2 linked regions of the Tribolium castaneum genome follow. The protein of the gene in region 2 interacts with the protein of the main gene of each other region in a pairwise test. Links are inferred from orthologs where the notes say so. Each region holds a gene or a part of one and is shown on either strand. Other genes may lie near its edges.

Region 1 (3,503 bases), on a different chromosome or scaffold from region 2:
TCTGAAACACCAAAAACGTAAAAATTTAACTGTAAAGAACTATATCTCGTGAAAAAGGGCACAAACAATTTTTTGTCACAGGAACTTTTAATTCAGTTTGATGTCCTTTATCAGCACCCGAAAGATTGTCCGGTACTTTAAAATCACCCTATATTTTTCTTTTTTATGATGTTTCGCTATCTTGTCGACGTCCTTATCCTTATCTGTAAATCCTTCCCTAAATTCATAAAAATAACAAGAAACTAATGCAAATTTAGTGGTACATTACATGTTCCAGTCGATTTGACTTCTTTATTCAAAAATAAGCCCTAAAATCTTAAATTTTTAGACCTTTCAGCACCTTTTCATGCAGAATATCAAACCTAAACAGAAAGCTACGAAATTATAATTAGTTATAATTGTAATTAAATATTATTTTTGCGTTTTTTGAGCATTTTAGCTAATTTTTTAAACAGAAACGCAACTATTTCACAAAATGTCGAAAACAAGCCAAAAATGGTATCATTTTCGTCTTTTTCTCAAACTTTTAACAACGTATTTTTGCAAAACCAAACCGAAAAATTATTGTAATTGTATAATTATTTACATTGTTATAATAAAAAATACTCTAGGAGCTAATCCGCTTTACGTCTCCCACACTCTTTGGTGGTGAATTCTGAAATGGGTTTTCTGTGTGAGAAATTTAAATGTGACGTGAGGTTGACATTGCACATTTTGAGTTATACCATAAAAAAATATCTCAATTTGTGCAATTATATTATGAGACTCGTCATTTCATTAGTTTTCCACCGAAAAAACAGTAATTGCATTCATCAGTGCCACAAAGAAACGGTTTAAAATTTCATGTTCACCAGAAGGTGCAGATATCTTAAGCTTGTATAACGTCATTAAACAATTTAATTTAGTGATTTAAGGTTTTAATATGGCCAATTGTAAACATTGAAATCAAAAGATGTAATCAAGTGAATTATTTATTTTTTGTGATGGCAACACGGTACACCGTGTGACCCAATATTTGGTCCTCTGTAAGCTGACTCAATAAAGAAAGACTTGTTTCTTAGTAAAATATGTTTTTATAAAAATTTACAGTTGCACCTAACATCCCTTTTGTACTTAAATATGACCTCCTTCTTTCAATTTTCCAACAAGTGCATCCACATCGGGCAAAATAGCTCCGGCTTGACGCACTGGCGGATCTTCCACACTGACCACAGTGATCCTAGGAGACACATCAACCCCCAAATCCTTTGGAGTCATTTTAGTAATTGGCTTCTTCTTCGCTTTCATAATATTTGGCAGAGTAGCATATCGTGGCTCGTTCAAACGCAAGTCGGCGCTTATCAAAGCCGGGAGCTTGCACTTGATCGTCTCCAAACCCCCATCAACCTCCCTGGTCACGGTGATTTCCTTATCACCCTTTTCTATCTAAAATAATTATTGGTAACACTTAAATACATTTCTCAACCGGAAAACGTACCTTTGAAGCAAACGTAGCTTGGGGCCAATCTAAGGCGGCGGCAGTCATCTGAGCCGTCTGATTCGAGTCGTCATCAATTGCCTGCTTGCCAACTATGATCATGTCGGCTTTTTCCTTCTCGGCCAGTTTGGCCAAAATTTTTGAAACGTGGATCGGTTGGAGGGTTTCGTATTCAGCCCCTGAGACCTCGACGTGAATGCCCTTATCCACACCCATGGCAAGGGCCGTTCTGATCACGTCTTGGGCCTGAGTTGGACCACAAGAAACTGCGATGATTTCAGACGCTAGTTTCTTTTCTTTCATACGGACGGCCTCCTCTACGGCTATTTCGTCGAAGGGGTTCATCGAGTGTTTCACCCCATCGGTGACAACCCCGGTTTTATCGGGCTTAACCCGAATCTGTAAATCTCCACTAGTGAACAAAAAGCGAAAATAAGGTGTCAAAACGTACCTTAACGGCATAGTCGATGACTCTTTTAACCCCAACTAACACACGAGCCATTGCTACAACAAGTTGTAAAGGAATTAAATAATTGGGAGGTATTACAAAAATTGGACCATTGGACTTTGACACTTCTATCAAAGTTGACGTTTCATAACGAAGTTGGCGACCCTGTCCAAATAGGAGCGGGAATTCAAAAGAAACGACGCTCAACACCAATGAATTTATTATCATGAGAAACAAGAAACTGTTATTTATATTAAACAAGCTGGAGTAACAATGATAGAGTTGTGCTAAACAGTACCGAAAAATTGTGTCAGAAGCTGCAAGTTAGATTTTCCCGAAGACTCTCATTATCTTGTAGTTGGGATGCACCTCAGGCCGCACATTCAGCACCAAATAGAGCAAATCGGCCAAAACCTAAACAGACAATAATTGAATTAGAAATAAAACGCGAGTCTGTGGCCGCAGCCGTAAATAAAATCACGCAATTTACAAACACTCCCAAAATAGAAGCGCTACCTTTTCTTTGTTGGTTTTCACGTCATTTTCCACCCCAATGATGATCTGTTCGGTGTTTTTATCAATTCTGGCGGCGATGTCCTCCTTCGAGCCCAAATGTTTGGCCTCGTACTCCCTAAATTGCCTCTCTCTTTCTTTTCTGTAATTTTCAATTTCCGCCTGGGCTTCCTCTCTCGCTTGCTTAATTCTGCGCGCTTTTCCTAATAATAGGAAAATTGGGATAATGTACGACTTGCTGAGATGCGTAAATTGTCAAAATATTTATAAAACTAACGTGTCAAAATGTGCATTAACTTGCAGAAATAACACGGAGTAGCTCTAAATATAAACCGCAACTTTTATAAATAAAATACTTACGTTTCCTGGCTTCGGCGACTTTTTCAGCTGCCCTTTTTTCAGCAGTCAGCAACTGCTGAATGCCTTGAGTTTGACTTGCCATTGCAAAATGGAGCAAGACACTTAGATGTTGTGGTATTAATGAAATTATGCCTCAATTGTATTAAATTGCTTAAGTGTGTAGAGGGGCAACAGAAATTATTTAAAAATAGAAATACCGAATTTTCGGTACGTCGTTACATAAGCAGCGACTATCACTACAGGAAAGGCAATCAATTTCAACTACAAGTGTGACCAGTAAGGTGGGTATTAAATCTATTGTTGTGATACAGAGGAAATACAAATTGGCTCTTTTGTCGCCTCTACTCCTAATTAATATTGTGCACACTGAAAAAGCCATTTGTACCAGTGATGTCAGCCACAATAATTGGAACAGCAATCATCTTAATTTTGATGGCCTTTGCAATTAAAACTTTATTATCACTTTGATACTTCAATTCTGTTTTTAACAATTTACAAAAATTATAGACTGAATCACTTCAGAAAACATTTTTTTTGTAAATTTGAAATTTTGATACTAGTGGCGAGGTAAGGAAATAAAAAAACTGTTTGAACAAGTTGTTTATACGATATTTTTTCTATTTCGCGCTTTTATTAGGGAATTTCGTGTACGCAAAATGTAGTACTTGCCACCAATATTAAAAACAAAACATACTAGGCAAGTAA
Region 2 (5,617 bases):
AGCTAATACTACGTAATCTTAACAAGTCAATAAATACATGGCATTTGTATTTTTGATGAAATAACAATTAAAATAACAATAAAAAATATATATTCGTTATAACCATAGAAGGCGTGAGCCGCGAAAAGTTCTTCGATTTTTTTTAACTTAAAACGCAATTCCTTAAAAAAATAGCTTAATGTATAAACCCAAAAAATAATTAAAAATAACAGTCAGGTAAAGAGAAAATACTGAAAAGATGTAGAAGTATCACCTATAAAAAAACAAAAAGCACGTGTATGTAAATTTTTTCAGGCAATTTTCATAACTAGAGTAACAACACGGTAAATGTAAAGTTTAATGCAATAAATAACTTACAAACGCTTCATAATTTTTAATGGCGGTTTTCCCGCTATCAAAACATAAAGTAGCGCAATTTTAAATTGATGTATATGACAAAAACGCTTTGTTAATAAAGTTTTTAATTTTTTTCTTTCATTCGGTTATAATCTTACCAATTATGATTGATTACAATTATTACTCCTCAATTACTATAATTTTTCAATTACAGTTAACTGTAAACTGCTCAATGAAATATTATAAAAGTTGTTGAATTTACAAAATTCTGGGAGCAATTTTTTCCAGTTGTAGCATCGTCACAGCCCTCTACCGCCACAGGGCGCCCCAAATCTCGCAGTTAATCTTAATCAGTGGCGGCGGGCCTACACCTCTGGCAGCTCCGGTCAAAAACAGCGAAATTTCGCCATTTGGGTGCATCCACACCCTATTCAAGCCGCTACTTTTCTGTGGCTTGAAACGGAGTTTCCTGTTTTCTTCCCGTGGAAAGCATTTCGAGGTTTGTGAGGGCGAGTCGGCCATACCTCCTCGAATCCTGGAATACATCTCAAGGGGGCAAAACTGGCCGGAGGGCGACGCTGCCTTCCATAGGCGCATCCTTGTGCCCACGTTACTCGTGCATGGGCTGCAGGATAAAAACGTTACGCTTGTACAACAATGTGAGATGGAGAGGGTTTGTTTCGTGGTTTTGAGGGGGCACTGCGATAGTTGACTGTTTTAGACCATACCGAGGGCCTTTCTGGAACTGATCCCAAATGCGGGGCATATGGCCATGATCGAAACGCCGGAGCATCTCAGCCATATGATCTTGTGTTTTATTGACACCTGGAGCTAATTATCTGATATTTATTTTTATTTATTTTTATACTTTTTACCAGAGCCGGATCGAGACACAGTTTCACCTGTTTTACAGTAGGTGAAAGTCTTAGTGAGGCGGAAAAGTACATTTAAAATTTTTATTACAATTACAAAATTTTACGATTTTTATTTAACTTGTTTTGTTGTCTGTGTTATATCTTTCGGGTTAAATGTGAGAAATTTCTGTTATCCAAATGAGCTGAAATTTTGCATACACACGTAATCTCCGTACTATTTAGTTAATTAGCCCTTAATAATAAAAATTATTAATAATTGTATTCTTGCGGATGATAATATATTCTTTGTCATGTAGATGCTATTAGTAAAATAATTCTAAAATATTTATTATGCAATGTTTTAGTGGAAGTAAATTGTGAAATGTTTGAAAAAGCTTGTACTAAAATTTACTTACCTATAACGGTCTTTTTACCGCTTTACACCTTATCAAAATTCTAAAGTTGTAGATAAATTTCAGAGAAAACATAATTAACCATTTTTAATTCTTTTTTACTTTTAACAGCTAATCATTTTCAATTCATTATTTCCTTAATGGTTTACAAAACTGTTAGCACTTTTTCTGTTTAGTGTTATGTAACCTTTGTTGAATAATTATTACTCCTGTTAAAAAACCAAATTTATTAACAAAAATCGTAAATACACATTTGGCGCCCTTTGTGTGGGCCCCTCACCCTCGATCCGGCCCTGGTTTTATTGTTTGACGAACTTCAGCCTGAATTAACTATGTGATATAAGAAGTGCAAGTATTAATCCGTCCGATAACGTAACGAAGTATTATTTTTTACTCACTTTAATAAAGTTTTTCAACCGAATAAATGCGTTTAATTGAAACCCCCAATCAGTGTTTTATAGTAACAAGTTTATTTTCAAAAATATAATCTTTACAAAACGTTTTTAAGACAATTTGCTGGTCAGTTCTGGCACGGCTTTGAACAAATCAGCGACCAATCCGTAATCGGCGACCTGGAAAATTGGAGCTTCCGGGTCCTTGTTGATTGCGACGATAGTTTTGCTGTCCTTCATCCCAGCCAAGTGCTGGATGGCCCCCGAAATGCCCACAGCGATGTACAAATCCTAGAGAAAAAATAATTACGTGCCCTTTGAACCCGTGGCGAACATACCGGTGCGACGATTTTGCCAGTCTGTCCAACTTGAAGATCGTTCGGAACGAACCCTGCGTCCACAGCGGCCCTGGAAGCCCCCACGGCGGCATTCAACTTGTCGGCAAGATCGTACAAAAGCTTGAAATTGTCGCCCGATTTCAGCCCACGGCCCCCACTGACCACCACCTTGGCACTGGTTAACTCAGGCCGGTCGGACTTGCTCAACTGTTGCCCCACGAAGACAGTCATGTCGGTGGCGCAGCCGTCGGTGGGCACAGTCTCGGTCTTGGCCGAGCCCCCTTCCAGCTTATCGGCCTCGAAACTGGTCCCTCGGACGCTTATTATTTTGATGGGGTCGTTGGCTTTCATAGTCTGGATTGCGTTGCCTTTGAAGGAGGCATTCAGCAATTTTAATTTTTTGGGGGTTGTTATTATTACCTGCATAGATGCTCCGCACGAAGGTGTCGGGGGACTTGATCCCGATGACGTCAGACACGGGGGAGACGTCCAGCTTGGCAGCAACCCGGGGCAAAAGGGCCTTTCCGAAGGCGGAAGCCCCGGCTATGATGTGGGTGTAATTGAACTGTTTTTGCGTTGAGATGATGAGAGGGGTCAGGCTTTCGGCCGTGAAGCCGTTAAAGGCATCGCTCTCCGCGATGAGGATTTTCGAAAGTCCGTTTGCTTTTGCTAGGGCTTCCGCCGCAGGGCCGCATTTTGTGCCGGCGACAAGGACGGAGATTTCGCCCCCGATTTTCTTAGCTGCAGTCAACGCATTTTGCGTAATGGGGTTAAGGCCCTTGTTGTCGTGCTCGGCGATAATTAGGGTACTTTGCAGGCGTTTCAAATGATTGGAAAACTAAAAACTGATCAGTGAGCAAGATGTTATATAACCACAATTATATAAATACCTGGGACGTTAACTGACGCGAACAATTCGAAAACATTTTGCTAAGTCTACAAATTCTTCTACTTTATTAATTATTTAATGATTTTATCAAAGTACATAGAGTTCAAAGTACACCTGACAGTGACAGATGTAGTGTTGCCAGTTCAACAAAACTAAATTAACCAAATGCTAGATACCACTAATTTTCGCACTAAAATTTCACATTGCCAGTTTCTGTTTAAATATAAACATGCATTTTTATTTTTCCATTAACTGCATGCGAAACTTTTATAATTTTAGACGTTTATAGACAAATACATTTGTCATAATTAATTTTTCTAGATCAATACTGTTCTATTTTGAATAATTCTGTGTATGAATGTTTCTAAATTTGACGGATTTGGACAGTGAGTGTTTCTGGTTATGATTTGTTTTAGACGTGTGATGACGTCACATCCGAGGTTAGGTGTGCGGCGCAGGCGGCGAGGGCGGTTCAGTCGACAGCGAGCAGTGGTGCGGGTCAGATCGGGAGCGGGAGCGGGAGGCGAGGCGAAGCGAGGTGAGTCGGTTTATTTAAATTATTGTGTATTGTGCGGTTTCGTTCAATTTATTCAGTTTGTTACTTGCCGTTGTCGCGAACGGACGTGTGTTCAAGCAAATCTAAATTTTCCGGTTTAAATTTTCAATTCGGTGGCTAGTGATCGCGTTTGAGTGACACATTTTAAATACAGTAAATAAAATTATTATCAAACACTCAAATAATTTATTGCCACGTAATAATTTTGTCTTTAATTTCAATGAATGAAAGTGGCTTGCTCAAAATTTAATGCAAATAAACATTTTTTTGGTTTCATTTTTATTATTATTTTTTTTAATGCTACAAACGGTAGCCAACGTGGAAGCGATATGAAGGTAGGTGTATTTTATTGCTGTGTCGTATTTATTTATTTCACAAACCAATAATTTCATAAAACTTAAATGCAATTAAAATCTTTAAATGCGGTGTTGAAAAGTGATATTTTGAGTGACACATTTTAAATACAGTAACTATAAATAAAATAAAACACTCAAATAATTAATTGCCACGTAATAATTTTGTCTTTAATTTCAATGAATGAAAGTGGCTTGCTCAAAATTTAATGCAAATAAACATTTTTTTGGTTTCATTTTTATTATTATTTTTTTTAATGCTACAAACGGTAGCCAACGTGGAAGCGATATGAAGGTAGGTGTATTTTATTGCTGTGTCGTATTTATTTATTTCACAAACCAATAATTTCAAACGTATTGTGTATTTTTTATTTTGTTTAATATTGACAAACGTTGCTTGTTGTAACTTTCATGCAAATAAAGATTTTTATTGGTGTTGTTTTAATTTTTTAAATGTCTTGCTACAAACAGTAGCCAACGCAGAAGCCATATGAAGGTAGGTGCATTTTTTTGCGTTTTATCTTGTGATGTGTTGGTTTAATAGCTTGTGTGCCATATATTATACCGTATTGTGTATCCTTTATTCTGTATAATATTTATTAAAGTCGCTTGTTGTAACTTTCCTACAAATTAATTTTTTTGTTGGTTGTGTTTTTAATTTATTTTTTAGGTTTTGCTACAAATGGTAGCAGATGCAGTACAAAAGGTAAGAGCATTTATTTAACGCCAAGTGAAAAAGCTTTGATTTTTGTGTACTATTTTTTCATTTCACAAACCAATAATTCCTTTATTCCCTTCATTTGAAATAATCATTGTTTACCTCATCCTTATATCCTTTTTTCCTGGCAAGAATGCTCTAAACCTCCACGTGGTTCTTGCCGGACAAATTAGTTATTGACTAATTTGACCAATTAGAGCAATCCTTAAATATAACATTGTTGACTGTTTTTTACAGCCGTAAAATTATGTCGCTTGTTGTAATTTTCATGCAAATAAAGATTTTTTATTGGTGTTGTTTTTAATTTTTTTTAATGCTACAAACGGTAGCCAACGTGGAAGCGATATGAAGGTAGGTGTATTTTATTGCTGTGTCGTATTTATTTATTTCTCAAACCAATAATTTCATAAAACTTAATTGCAATTAAAATCTTTAAATGCGGTGTTGAAAGTGACATTTTGAGTGACGCATTTTAGATACAGAAATTATAAATAAAATAAAACACTCAAATAATTTATTGCCACGTAATTTTGTCTTTAATTTCAATGAATGAAAGTGGCTGCTCAAAATTTAATGCAAATAAACATTTTTTTGGTTTCATTTTTATTATTATTTTTTTTAATGCTACAAACGGTAGCCAACGTGGAAGCGATATGAAGGTAGGTGTATTTTATTGCTGTGTCGTATTTATTTATTTCTCAAACCAATAATTTCATAAAACTTAAATGCAATTAAAATCTTTAAATGCGGTGTTGAAAAGTGATATTT

Evidence for each region. The genes of interacting proteins can lie anywhere in the genome.
Region 1: the proteins of wal (region 2) and Etfb interact in a two-hybrid assay, tested with the Drosophila melanogaster proteins (2 studies listed by BioGRID). The link is inferred for Tribolium castaneum from reciprocal best matches to the Drosophila melanogaster genes wal and Etfb.

What each region holds. Positions count from the first base shown.
Region 1 is NC_087396.1:10,352,172-10,355,674, forward strand, and holds Etfb (electron transfer flavoprotein subunit beta), read right to left. Parts: upstream 2,088-3,503; 5' UTR 1,980-2,087; coding exon 1,929-1,979; intron 1,877-1,928; coding exon 1,478-1,876; intron 1,426-1,477; coding exon 1,114-1,425; 3' UTR 959-1,113; downstream 1-958. Other genes in the region: V-type proton ATPase subunit G, read right to left, coding at 2,250-2,339, 2,442-2,641, 2,799-2,880.
Region 2 is NC_087403.1:1,723,173-1,728,789, forward strand, and holds wal (electron transfer flavoprotein subunit alpha, mitochondrial), read right to left. Parts: upstream 3,383-5,617; 5' UTR 3,260-3,382; coding exon 3,224-3,259; intron 3,172-3,223; coding exon 2,754-3,171; intron 2,702-2,753; coding exon 2,334-2,701; intron 2,287-2,333; coding exon 2,107-2,286; 3' UTR 2,051-2,106; downstream 1-2,050. Other genes in the region: protein ABHD8, read left to right, coding at 625-1,009, 1,058-1,171.